Xenopus tropicalis: one gene and its partners. The protein of the gene in region 2 interacts with the protein of the main gene of each other region in a biochemical or structural test. Links are inferred from orthologs where the notes say so. Each region holds a gene or a part of one and is shown on either strand. Other genes may lie near its edges.

Region 1 (4,064 bases), on a different chromosome or scaffold from region 2:
TCTTTTTCACTCTTTTAAGGAGTTTGGAGCAGAGTTCAGTGAATTCATCATCAGACTCAACCATTAGTGCGCCGTTAAAAGAACAAGGTGACAGGCAAGACTGTCAGGGCATCCAGGGTACCAAATTGGGTGCCTGTGGTCTTCATACTCATTTCACCTCTTCATAGTATTTCCCGGGTATCCAGTGAGTGCTAAAAAGATAGATAAGACAATAAAATTATTTTAGATTTATCAACCTCAATACGGATCAAGGCAAGACTTTTTATAGTGGGAGTAACACCAATACATCATGATCCCCTTTAATTTCAGGGAAACAAAGTATAGTATCCCTGGTTTAAAGCATCCCAGAAATCTAGATTATAGCTGCATGTTTCTTGGCTGATCCACTGTTTACTGAATTAATATATTTAACACTGCATATAAACTTGAAGGCTTCTAACTTTCAGAACAACCATAAATAGGTGTAAGAATGTTGTATAAGGCCTGCAGGCTGAGCCATCATTGGAAGGTCAGTTGTACAGTATGGTACACAATAGGAATAATGTCACAATTAAACAACTATTTGCAAAGTTCTGGCACTAGATGGCAGCATTAGGAGAATTACAAATTCTACAAATAAGAGCAGCATTCAGTTATATTTATTCATTCCCTATATTTATATATAGTGCCAACACAGTTCCACAGCGCTTTACAGACATATAGGTCATTCCAATCAGTATATGTAGCTGACAAAACCCACACCAACACTAGCCAATAATTTAGAAGCGACTGCTCCAACATGCACAGTTGTATTGGTGCTATTTTAGTATAAACAATTATGGTTTACCATATACCATACAGGCCTATAAAATGCTGAGGTCAGTTGAGGCTGCAATACTTCTACTCATTAGGGCTAAAGCATGGGGATCGTATGTTTAACGTTCCGTTGGGCCCTGGAGGAGGCTGGGAGCCAACCCACAAGACCCCGGGCAGCATTGTTAGATGGGAAAGCAGGCCCGCTGTGGCCCTCCAACACTGTCCAATAACAACAAAAATCTTTTAGTATAATAAGGCTATATTAGATAGATATAAGAGATATTTGGCCCATTATATGGAAAATGTTTGAAGAATGGCCTGGGTCCTAAAAGGGCTCCACTGGCACAAATAACTGTAACCTTTAAAGGGGAACTGCGGCTTCTGAACCAACATTTTTTTGAAGAGCCCCACACAACACACCTAATATACCTATCATTGTAATCTGTTCCTTTAAAAGGTATGAATAAATACCATTTTATATGCTGAAATCCAGATGCACAACAGTTTATTTTCTTTCTGCATGACTGAAATCCTGGCAGGGGAGGAGGGACTAAAACATCAACGTTACAAATTGGAACAGCATCCCTACAGTTTACAGACAGCAAGCAGGAACTACATAACCCACAATGCATTGCACTCTGATGTTTCTTCCCTTATTAAAGGAGACATATAGGATAAATGAGAAAAACCCTAATTTTGTAGGCAATTATGAATAATATACGGTGCTGGTTTCCCTTTGGGCTAAACATTAATCCTCTCTGTAACAATGGCCCCTTTATTGGAGCTCCCTATAGATCCTCTGGCTTCTCTGTCCAGTGTGAAATGAAGAGTGGGCATGTCCTAACGGTCCCTGCCAGAAGCACAGTAGGAGGGGGAGAGCCAATCACAGCCCTGCACTCCCACAAGCACAGACAGACTTCAGTTCCCTATCAGGTCAGCCTAGCTGCTGATTGGTTCCTATCCTGCAGTGCAGTGTACGGAGGGCCGCCGGTTCCCCAGCTCATCCAGAGAATTCAGCCAGCAGGAAGTGGAACAGATGGGCGGGGCTAGTGGGGTTTTTGTGGAATTTCTCAATAAATCAGTCTGAAACACAACATTTTTAAGCACAATCCTTCTATATCTAGAGGAGTATAATTCACTGGTACATTCTTAATGTTTATAGGATATGTCTCCTTTAATATAATGTGTGCAATTTGGAGGATGCAGGCTCAGGACAGTCTCAATGTAATCAGCCAGCTGAGCAGAACAAGGGGCCCGGCTTAGGTAACTGTTTAAAACCATATTTTCTAATTGATGTATATTGCAAAGTTGCCTAAAATGATGTTTACTATTCGCAAAGTTGTGTTTGGGTGGAGTTCCCCTTTAATGACTAGAAGGGGCCAATTCACTATCCCATAAAGATGGCACGGTGACAAATGGAATGAAGGGATTCAGAAAAATAAGGGATAGGGGTCATAACACAGAGGGCCCTTGCCCTTTAGCTCCTAACTACACATATTCTAACATAATATATAACACTTATCAGCATTTCTGTTCAGTCACTAACTCTGAGCAGAATTCCCAGCAGTGCAGTAAAGTAACCCCCATGCTACCTGTACCATATTGATCAGCTGTTGCTTAGTTACTGCACTGAGGCAATGCTGACCGTACATAGTGAATGAGCCCCAGTCTCTCTGTCTAGTTACAGTGAAAATAATCCTTGTGTACGAACTAACGTGATTACCCAACCATATAACACATGTCAATCATTCTCATGTCAAAAGCCCTACAGGGCCACCTAGCTGGCTACTGAATGTGCCGCTGCAGGTTACTGGGCCCCATTCCTACAGCGGAGCTGCCAGCCCGCACCCTAAGCAGGATTCCATCATTCATTCACTGCAGCCATAGGGCTCACTCACCTCAGTAACACAGCTTCACACAAGCCGCCCCGGAATTGGCGCGTCATGACGTCAACACGCTTCCGCCCAGCTGTGACCGTGGCACGACGTCTCCACAGTAACAGAAGGAACTACCGGAACTCGGCTGACGCATGAGGCGCCACGCCGGAAGTGTTGGGGATTGTAAATAAAGCGCGTCTATAGTAATGTGTAAAGTTTAGGTTTTAGGCAGCTGTTTGTAGCTCAGCTGAAGCAGTGGCATGAAATAAAAAATAAATATAAATGTTTATTGAAAAGTTGCCTAGAATCACGTTTCCTTTCATATGCAAAAAAAACTCAAAAGACTTTGTGCGGAGTCCCCCCTTTAGCACATACACAGGGTTACCATTATTGTTACAACCAGTGTGGGCTGTCACTGTGCCAATAGGTTAATGTCCCTGCGCCCTCCCTACTCATTCCTAAGGGCGGCCTAACCCCCCCTTAACTCCAACACACTCCTACAGCTGGTGTGTTTTTGGTACAGAAACCCTACTATAGTTTATATAAATACCCCGCTGTGTAGCCCCAGGGGCAGCCATTCCTGCACTGGTACAGCTGGGGTGTTTGCTACAGAAACCCTACTATAGTTTGTATAAATACCCCGCTGTGTAGCCCCGGGGGCAGCCATTCCTGCACTGGTACAGCTGGGGTGTTTGCTACAGAAACCCTACTATAGTTTATATAAATACCCCGCTGTGTAGCCCCGGGGGCAGCCATTCCTGCACTGGTACAGCTGGGGTGTTTGCTACAGAAACCCTACTATAGTTTATATAAATACCCCGCTGTGTAGCCCCAGGGGCAGCCATTCCTGCACTGGTACAGCTGGGGTGTTTGCTACAGAAACCCTACTATAGTTTATATAAATATCCCGCTGTGTAGCCCCAGGGGCAGCCATTCCTGCACTGGTACAGCTGGGGTGTTTGCTACAGAAACCCTACTATAGTTTGTATAAATACCCCGCTGTGTAGCCCCGGGGGCAGCCATTCCTGCACTGGTACAGCTGGGGTGTTTGCTACAGAAACCCTACTATAGTTTATATAAATACCCCGCTGTGTAGCCCCGGGGGCAGCCATTCCTGCACTGGTACAGCTGGGGTGTTTGCTACAGAAACCCTACTATAGTTTGTATAAATACCCCGCTGTGTAGCCCCGGGGGCAGCCATTCCTGCACTGGTACAGCTGGGGTGTTTGCTACAGAAACCCTACTATAGTTTATATAAATACCCCGCTGTGTAGCCCTGAGGGCAGCCATTCCTGCACTGGTACAGCTGGGGTGTTTGCTACAGAAACCCTACTATAGTTTGTATAAATACCCCGCTGTGTAGCCCCGGGGGCAGCCATTCCTGCACTGGTA
Region 2 (4,182 bases):
GAAGAATGGCTGCTGATCTCATATAATACTTATGACTCATTTATTTTGATATGCAATTTACTCTCCCCTTTATTTAAAATATTTGCTGTGGTTTCTCCCTTTTGCTTGTGACATTTGTATTGTCATCCCTTTGTTGTTTACAGATCTCCACCTTACAAGCAAACTCCAAATGAAAGAAAATAAATGCCCTTATAACCATGTCCCAATATGCACTGCTTGTACCCTAGGCAATTTTGGGTGGGTTTTAGGCCTTTTCATTTTTGGGGGGGTAACTATGAGGAGCAGAAGGCTGTCAGTGTTATTAACAGTAAATAGGGAAGAAAGACAGTAAATCCCAGTGTTGGAATGAGGTGTGTGGGGTCCACCACCTCAACAGACGGTTTTTCTCCTATCGTTCCGCTCGTCCAGTCCCACCCTGGGAAATGGCTGTATTTTATGTCCCTAAAAGGGCAGCCACCTTCCATGATTTTTATGTTTTGTCTGGAAACTTTGGATATGGTTTGGATATGATTTTTATGTTTTGTCTGGTAACTTTGGATATGGTTTGGATATGATTTTTATGTTTTGTCTGGTAACTTTGGATATGGTTTGGATATGATTTTTATGTTTTGTCTGGTAACTTTGGATATGGTTTGGATATGATTTTTATGTTTTGTCTGGTAGCTTTGGATATGGTTAGCTTCTCTATGTTTTTGGTATGTATAACTTTATTTATAAAGCGCCACAAGGATACGCAGCACTGTACAATCTTACAATATACACAATTACCCACAGGTAGGGCAAGTGTTATAATAAATTTCAATAAATAAGTATAAATACACAGGGAGTAAGTGCCATGGGGTATGAGACACAGTAGGAAGGAGGTCCCTGCCCCGTAGAGCTTACAATCTAAGTGGTTGGGTAACATACAGGCACAAACTGGAAGGTAAGAGGCACCAGGTATGGGCATTTGCCCTTAAGTGCAGGACTGATCAAAATAAAGTTTTAGTGAAAAGGTAACTGGTATGGCAACTGGTATGGCTTCCTCCTTTGGCTTAATTATAGGGGGGGCTGTTTCTGGAAGCTTCTATCATGGCTCCTGCCCCCTCTATGAGACTAGGCCAATGAAGTCACTGGAAGGGATTTAGCCAATCCCGGGTACAATGCGGCCCAACCTCACCCTGACTCTCCTCAGAGTCAGACCCCTCCCCCCATGCGCGCCCCCGCCGCCACGTGCTCCCCAAGGCGGGCTTTTCCCTACAGTGGAAATAGCGGCGGGGGCGCGCACGCAGAGAGTGCGCCAAATCTTCCTTTCCGTACGTGCGCGCTCTCGTTCCACGTCCCGCGCCAGTTCAGGCTCTTTGTGAGGAGGAGGCAGCAGCGAGAGTACCGGGCACCGGGAGCGAACTGACAATGGCGGACGATAAGCCCAAGGTCCTGCTCCGGGCTGGGAGAGGGAAGGGTCGCATAGCGGGCTTGGGGCCGGGGGCAGTGGGTGCGGGGCAGGAGGAGGGAGAGGCCTAGGCGCTAAAGGGAGGGGGCAGCGGCCTGCGGGCTGTGCGGGGGCTCTGTGGGTACGGGAGGGGCCCGTAGGGAGACAGCCGGGAGAGGGACGCCCATACTAGCGGGGCTTGGTTATGGGAGGCTGCACTGCATTGGCCCACTAGGTTTATGGGGAAGGGAGCACAGGAACCAGGGAGCACTGGGGAAGGGAGCACTGGGGAAGGGAGCACTGGGGAAGGGAGCACTGGGGAAGGGAGCACAGGGGAAGGGAGCACTGGGGAAGGGAGCACAGGGGAAGGGAGCACTGGGGAAGGGAGCACAGGAACCAGGGAGCACTGGGGAAGGGAGCACTGGGGAAGGGAGCACAGGGGAAGGGAGCACAGGGGAAGGGAGCACAGGGGAAGGGAGCACAGGGGAAGGGAGCACAGGGGAAGGGAGCACAGGGGAAGGGAGCACAGGGGAAGGGAGCACAGGGGAAGGGAGCACTGGGGAAGGGAGCACTGGGGAAGGGAGCACTGGGGAAGGGAGCACTGGGGAAGGGAGCACTGGGGAAGGGAGCACTGGGGAAGGGAGCACTGGGGAAGGGAGCACTGGGGAAGGGAGCACTGGGGAAGGGAGCACTGGGGAAGGGAGCACAGGAACCAGGGAGCACAGGAACCAGGGAGCACTGGGGAAGGGAGCACAGGAGCCAGGGAGCACTGGGGAAGGGAGGACAGGAACCAGGGAGCACTGGGGAAGGGTATGTTGGGCACTGCCAGTATTGGGAGATGGGAAGTAAATGGGAATGGGCGACCTTGGCTATACTGGGAATAGGGATATTAGGGGGGCCTGAGCCCAGGTATGTTGTGGGGGAATATACTGGGGCTGGGAATTGGGAGGTTAGGGGGCCCTGAGCCCAGGTATGTTGGGGGGGGAATATACTGGGCCTGGGAATTGGCAGTTTAGGGGGCTCTGAGCCTAGGTATGTTGGGGACATATACTGGGGCTGGGAATAGGGAGGTTAGGGGGCCCTGAGCCCAGGTATGTTGGGGGGGAATATACTGGGGCTGGGAATTGGCAGCTTAGAGGGCCCTGAGCCCAGGTATGTTGGGGGCATATACTGGGAATTGGGAGCTTAGGGGGCCCTGAGCCCAGGTATGTTGGGGGCATATACTGGGGCTGTGAATTGGGAGCTTAGGGGGCCCTGAGCCCAGGTATGTTGGGGGCATATACTGGGAATTGGGAGCTTAGGGGGCCCTGAGCCCAGGTATGTTGGGGGCATATACTGGGAATTGGGAGCTTAGGGGGCCCTGAGCCCAGGTATGTTGGGGGCATATACTGGGAATTGGGAGCTTAGGGGGCCCTGAGCCCAGGTATGTTGGGGGCATATACTGGGGCTGTGAATTGGGAGCTTAGGGGGCCCTGAGCCCAGGTATGTTGGGGGCATATACTGGGGCTGTGAATTGGGAGCTTAGGGGGCCCTGAGCCCAGGTATGTTGGGGGCATATACTGGGGCTGGGAATTGGGAGCTTAGGGGGCCCTGAGCCCAGGTATGTTGGGGGCATATACTGGGGCTGGGAATTGGGAGCTTAGGGGGCCCTGAGCCCAGGTATGTTGGGGGCATTGACTTTAGGGAATGAGGTAACTTGGGGAGAGAGGAATTCAAGAATGTTGAGTGGGAAAAGATGTAGCCTCTGGCCAGTGAGAAGGGCAAGTATTATGGGAGAGCTTAATGGTGGGAAAATGGGTATGCAGGGCTCAGTGCCATTAAATAGAGTTAATACTGGCCAGAAGCCTAGGTTATGTTGGGGGCATTCCATGCAGAGTAAGGGGCATAAGGGTGAAGACACACTGAGCTACTAGCAGCAACTAATTTTTTACAGCTACAAAACACCAGAAAATCCCCTGCCTTAGACAGTATGGAGCGTTGCGAAAACAGAGAATTATCAGTAACTGATTGGCATTGAATATTTTAGTAGCTGTGACAAGTAGCTGCTACTACTGTGTGTCTTCGACCTAAGGAAGGAGAATTCTTAGTATGGAAGGAATTTTAGAATTGAGGAAGTAGTGTAGGTAATGGAGGAACACGTGTTAGAAGCAGGAAGGGTAAGGTGCATTAGGCACAGTGGAAAGAAAGTTCTGAGAACTTTTAAACTTGTATTAAGTCTTTAGATTCAGGGTCTGTGACACTGTGAAGCAGTACCATGTTATTCTGCATACTGGCCCTCAATGTGATATTGCTCTCTTAATCACTGGGACCTGTTAATTGGGGACCTAGAGACACAGGCAAGCGTACTGTAAGGCTAATATATACGATGAGGTTAGGGGCTAGACCAGCTTTTGTGAGTGTAGTTGTAAGTTAAATGCCTGTGCAGTCAGTAAACATTCCAGAACTGTAGCTCCCAGCAGTGACTGTTGTTCTAAAGGGAACATTTGGTGTATTTTGTGTAATGACATGCAGCCTTATAACTTCTGTGCTCCCCATCTTTCTTCTTGTGCGTTGTGAACACATTACCAAATGTAGCATGGTCCCCGGCCAGATCTAATATAACTAGAGTTCTTTTGTCATTTGGTGCCAAAGTATTCTCTAGAATGGGGTGCAAAGAGCTCATTTCTCACAACGGGATGAATAACCACAAGCGTTACCAGTGTTTCTGTGCCATGATGCCCCTTCCCAGCACTCATTCCACTTTTTACTTCTTTTAGGAAGGTGTTAAGACC
Region 3 (4,276 bases), on a different chromosome or scaffold from region 2:
CACTCAGCCCCCCCGGTACTAACCACTCCAGCCATAGCCCGGTACTAACCACTCAGCCCCCGGTACTAACACACAGCCCCCCCCCCCGGTACTACACTTCAGCCCCCCCCACAGCGGTACTGACACTCAGCCCCCCGGTACTAACACTCAGCCCCCCCCGGTACTCTAACTCACCCCCCCCCGGTCTAAACTCGGCCCCCCCCCCGGTACTACACATCAGCCCCCGGTACTAACACTCAGCCCCCCCGTACTAACACTCAGGCCCCCCCGGTACTTAACACACAGCCCCCCGGTACTAACACACAGCCCCCGGTACTAACACACAGCCCCCCCCGGTACTAAACACTCAGCCCCCGGTACTAACACACAGCCCCCCCGTAGCTACACTCAGCCCCCCCCCCCGTATAACACTCAGCCCCCCCCCCCGGTACTAACACACACCCCCGCGTACTAACACACAAGCCCCCCCGGTACTAACACACAGCCCCCCCCGGTACTAACACACAGCCCCCCCCCGGTACTAACAAATCAGCCCCCCCCCGGTACTAACACTCAGGCCCCTCCCCCCCCGGTACTAAACTCAGCCCCCCCCCGGTAAAACTATAACACTCGCCCCCCCCCCCCGGTATAACCACTCAGCCCCCCCCCGGTACTAACACTCAGCCCCCCCCGGTACTAACACTCAGCCGCCCCCGTACTAACACTCAGCCCCCCCCCCCCCGGGTCTAAACACTCAGCCCCCCCGGTACTTAACACTCAGCCCCCGGTATAACACACAGCCCCCCCCGGTACTATACACTCAGCCCCCCCCGTACTCAACACTCAGGCCCCCCCCGGTACTAACACTCCACCCCCCCCCGGTATAAACACTCAGCCCCCCCCCCCCGGTACTAACACTCAGCCTCCCCCCCGGTACTAAACACAGCCCCCCCCCGGTACTAACACTCAGCCCCCCCCCCCGGTACTAACACTCAGCCCCCCCGGTACTTAACACTCAGCCCCCCCCCCCCCCGGTACTAACACTCGCCCCCCCGGTAAACCTCGCCCCCCGGTACTAACACTTCAGCCGCCCCCCCGGTACTAACACTCAGCCCCCCCCACCCGTACTAACACTCAGCCCCCCCGGTACTAACACTCAGCCCTCCCCGGTACTAACTCAGCCCCCGGTACTAACACTCAGCCCCCCCCGGTACTAACTAACATCAGCCCCCCCCCCCCGGTACTAACGACTCAAGCCCCGGTACTAACACTTCAGCCCCCCCCCCCGGTACTAACACTCAGCCCCCCCCCCCCGGGTACTAACACTCAGCTAACACTCAGCCCCCCGGTACTACACTCAGCCCCCCCCCCGGTACTAACACTCAGCCCCCCCCCGGTACTTTAACACTCAGCCCGCCCCCCGGTACTAACACTCAGCCCCCCCCGGTACTAACACTCAGCCCCCCCCCCGGTACTACGGTATAACACTCAGCCCCCCCCCCCCCGGCCCCCCACTCCATCCTCCCAACCCGGAAACCACCTCCCCCCCCGGTACTAACACTCAGCCCCCCGGTACTAAACATCAGCCCCCCCCGGTACTAACACTCACCCCGGTACTAACCTCAGCCCTCCCCGGTACTAACACTCAGCCCCCCCCCCCCCACTCAGCCGGCCGGTACTAACACTCAGCCCCCCCACCCCCGGTACTAACACTCAGCCCCCTAACACTCAGCCCCCCCCCCCCGGTACTAACACTCAGCCCCCCCCCCGGTCAGCCCCCCCCCCGGTACTACACTCAGCCCCCCCCCCCGGCACACCCTCAGCCCCCCCCGGTACTAACACACAGCCCCCCCGGTACTAACACACAGCCCCCCGGTACTAACACACAGCCCCCCCGGTACTAACACACAGCCCCCCCCGGTACTAACACACAGCCCCCCCCGGTACTAACACAACAGCCCCCCCGGTACTAACACTCAGCCCCCCCGGTACTAACACACAGCCCCCCCGAGGTACTAACACACAGCCCCCCTGCGTACTAACACACAGCCCCCGGGTACTAACACACAGCCCCCCCGGTACTAACACACAGCCCCCCCGGTACTAACACACAGCCCCCCCCGGTAACTAACACACAGCCCCCCGGTACTAACACTCAGCCCCCCCCCCCCGCCGGTACTAACACTCAGCCCCCCCCCCCCCCGGTACTAACACTCAGCCCCCCCCCCCGGTACTAACACTCAGCCCCCCCCCCCGGTACTAACACTCAGCCCCCCCCCCCGGTTACTAACACTCAGCCCCCCGGTACTAACACTCAGCCCCCGGTACTAACACACAGCCCCCCCCCCCCGGTACTAACACTCAGCCCCCCCCCCCCGGTACTAACACTCAGCCCCCCCCCCCGGTACTAACACTCAGCCCCCCCGGTACTAACACTCAGCCCCCCCCGGTACTAACACTCAGCCCCCCCGGTACTAACACACAGCCCCCCCGGTACTAACACACAGCCCCCCCGGTACTAACACTCAGCCCCCCCGGTACTAACACTCAGCCCCCCCGGTACTAACACTCAGCCCCCCCGGTACTAACACTCAGCCCCCCCCCCGGTACTAACACTCAGCCCCCCCGGTGACTCACCCGCTCCCGGTGCCACAGGTTCCCTCCCCGCCGAGATATCAAAATAGAATTTCTACCTACGAAGGATTCAAACCCAAGCGCCGCCCACTGACCTGTCCGCCATTGGCTGCCGTATCACTGCGCGGCCGCGTCCGAACACGCGTGATGTCACTGACACGCATTTGCGTGCCACGCCTCTATTTACAGAACCCATAATAAAAGTTTAGCGGCCCGATAGGGTGTGGGCGGGGCATAGTGACCGGAGGCTGGGAGGGGCTAAAACCAGAAATGTACAATTTGAGCGAGAAAGCTAAGTCTGTTCTAAGGGAACTACAACTCTCAGCACTTTACTAGAGCTTTCCAATTGGTAGCTGATTCTGGGAATTGTAGTTCCGAGCGCTATTACCTGACTGGCCCCTCCCACTGACTGGGGCGGCTTCCTTACATGACGTCATTGCAGGGCGGAGCGGTGCGGGCCAAAAACGCGGGAAATTCGGGGATTCAGGAGGTTGGAGTCCGGGGTCTGTGAGTGTTTCTATGGTAACGGGGTTTGTTTTGCCTTTGCGCAGGGTGAATAGGGTGGGGCTTAGGAAATGGGGTGATGGTGGCAACTAGCGGGCGAGCAGGGGGTTCTGCGCCTGTAGGGTAACATGGGAAATGGTGCAATGATTGTGTTAGTGACACCTACTGGGGATCAGCGGAACTGACTGGCACATTATGGAGTGATTTTGTGTTACAGTGACACCTACTGGGGATCAGGGGAACTGACTGGCACATTATGGAGTGATTTTGTGTTACAGTGACACCTACTGGGGATCAGGGGAACTGACTGGCACATTATGGAGTGATTTTGTGTTACAGTGACACCTACTGGGGATCAGGGGAACTGACTGGCACATTATGGAGTGATTTTGTGTTACAGTGACACCTACTGGGGATCAGGGGAACTGACTGGCTCATTATGGAGTGATTTTGTGTTACAGTGACACCTACTGGGGATCAGGGGAACTGACTGGCACATCATGGAGTGATTTTGTGTTACAGTGACACCTACTGGGGATCAGGGGAACTGACTGGCACATTATGGAGGGATTTTGTGTTACAGTGACACCTACTGGGGATCAGGGGAACTGACTGGCACATTATGGAGGGATTTTGTGTTACAGTGACACCTACTGGGGATCAGGGGAACTGACTGGCACATTATGGAGGGATTTTGTGTTACAGTGACACCTACTGGGGATCAGGGGAACTGACTGGCACATTATGGAGGGATTTTGTGTTACAGTGACACCTACTGGGGATCAGGGGAACTGACTGGCACATTATGGAGTGATTTTGTGTTACAGTGACACCTACTGGGGATCAGGGGAACTGACTGGCTCATTATGGAGTGATTTTGTGTTACAGTGACACCTACTGGGGATCAGGGGAACTGACTGGCTCATTATGGAGTGATTTTGTGTTACAGTGACACCTACTGGGGATCAGGGGAACTGACTGGCTCATTATGGAGTGATTTTGTGTTACAGTGACACCTACTGGGGATCAGGGGAACTGACTGGCACATTATGGAGTGATTTTGTGTTACAGTGACACCTACTGGGGATCAGGGGAACTGACTGGCACATTATGGAATGATTTTGTGTTACAGTGACACCTACTGGGGATCAGCGGAACT

The links. The genes of interacting proteins can lie anywhere in the genome.
Region 1: the proteins of sumo2 (region 2) and slx4 form a complex in vitro, tested with the Homo sapiens proteins (3 studies listed by BioGRID). The link is inferred for Xenopus tropicalis from reciprocal best matches to the Homo sapiens genes SUMO2 and SLX4.
Region 3: the proteins of sumo2 (region 2) and numa1 form a complex in vitro, tested with the Homo sapiens proteins (2 studies listed by BioGRID). The link is inferred for Xenopus tropicalis from reciprocal best matches to the Homo sapiens genes SUMO2 and NUMA1.

The regions. Positions count from the first base shown.
Region 1 is NC_030685.2:20,676,116-20,680,179, reverse strand, and holds the start of slx4 (structure-specific endonuclease subunit SLX4), read right to left. Parts: upstream 2,801-4,064; 5' UTR 2,694-2,800; intron 192-2,693; 5' UTR 65-191; coding exon 1-64. UniProt on the Homo sapiens protein: Regulatory subunit that interacts with and increases the activity of different structure-specific endonucleases.
Region 2 is NC_030686.2:44,411,019-44,415,200, forward strand, and holds the start of sumo2 (small ubiquitin-related modifier 2 precursor), read left to right. Parts: upstream 1-1,382; 5' UTR 1,383-1,392; coding exon 1,393-1,413; intron 1,414-2,123; exon of another isoform or gene 2,124-2,360; intron 2,361-2,707; exon of another isoform or gene 2,708-3,565; intron 3,566-4,167; coding exon 4,168-4,182. UniProt on the Homo sapiens protein: Ubiquitin-like protein that can be covalently attached to proteins as a monomer or as a lysine-linked polymer.
Region 3 is NC_030678.2:178,840,561-178,844,836, reverse strand, and holds the start of numa1 (nuclear mitotic apparatus protein 1), read right to left. Parts: upstream 2,801-4,276; 5' UTR 2,709-2,800; intron 2,703-2,708; exon of another isoform or gene 2,617-2,702; intron 1-2,616. Other genes in the region: short transient receptor potential channel 2, read left to right, coding at 3,041-3,120. UniProt on the Homo sapiens protein: Microtubule (MT)-binding protein that plays a role in the formation and maintenance of the spindle poles and the alignement and the segregation of chromosomes during mitotic cell division.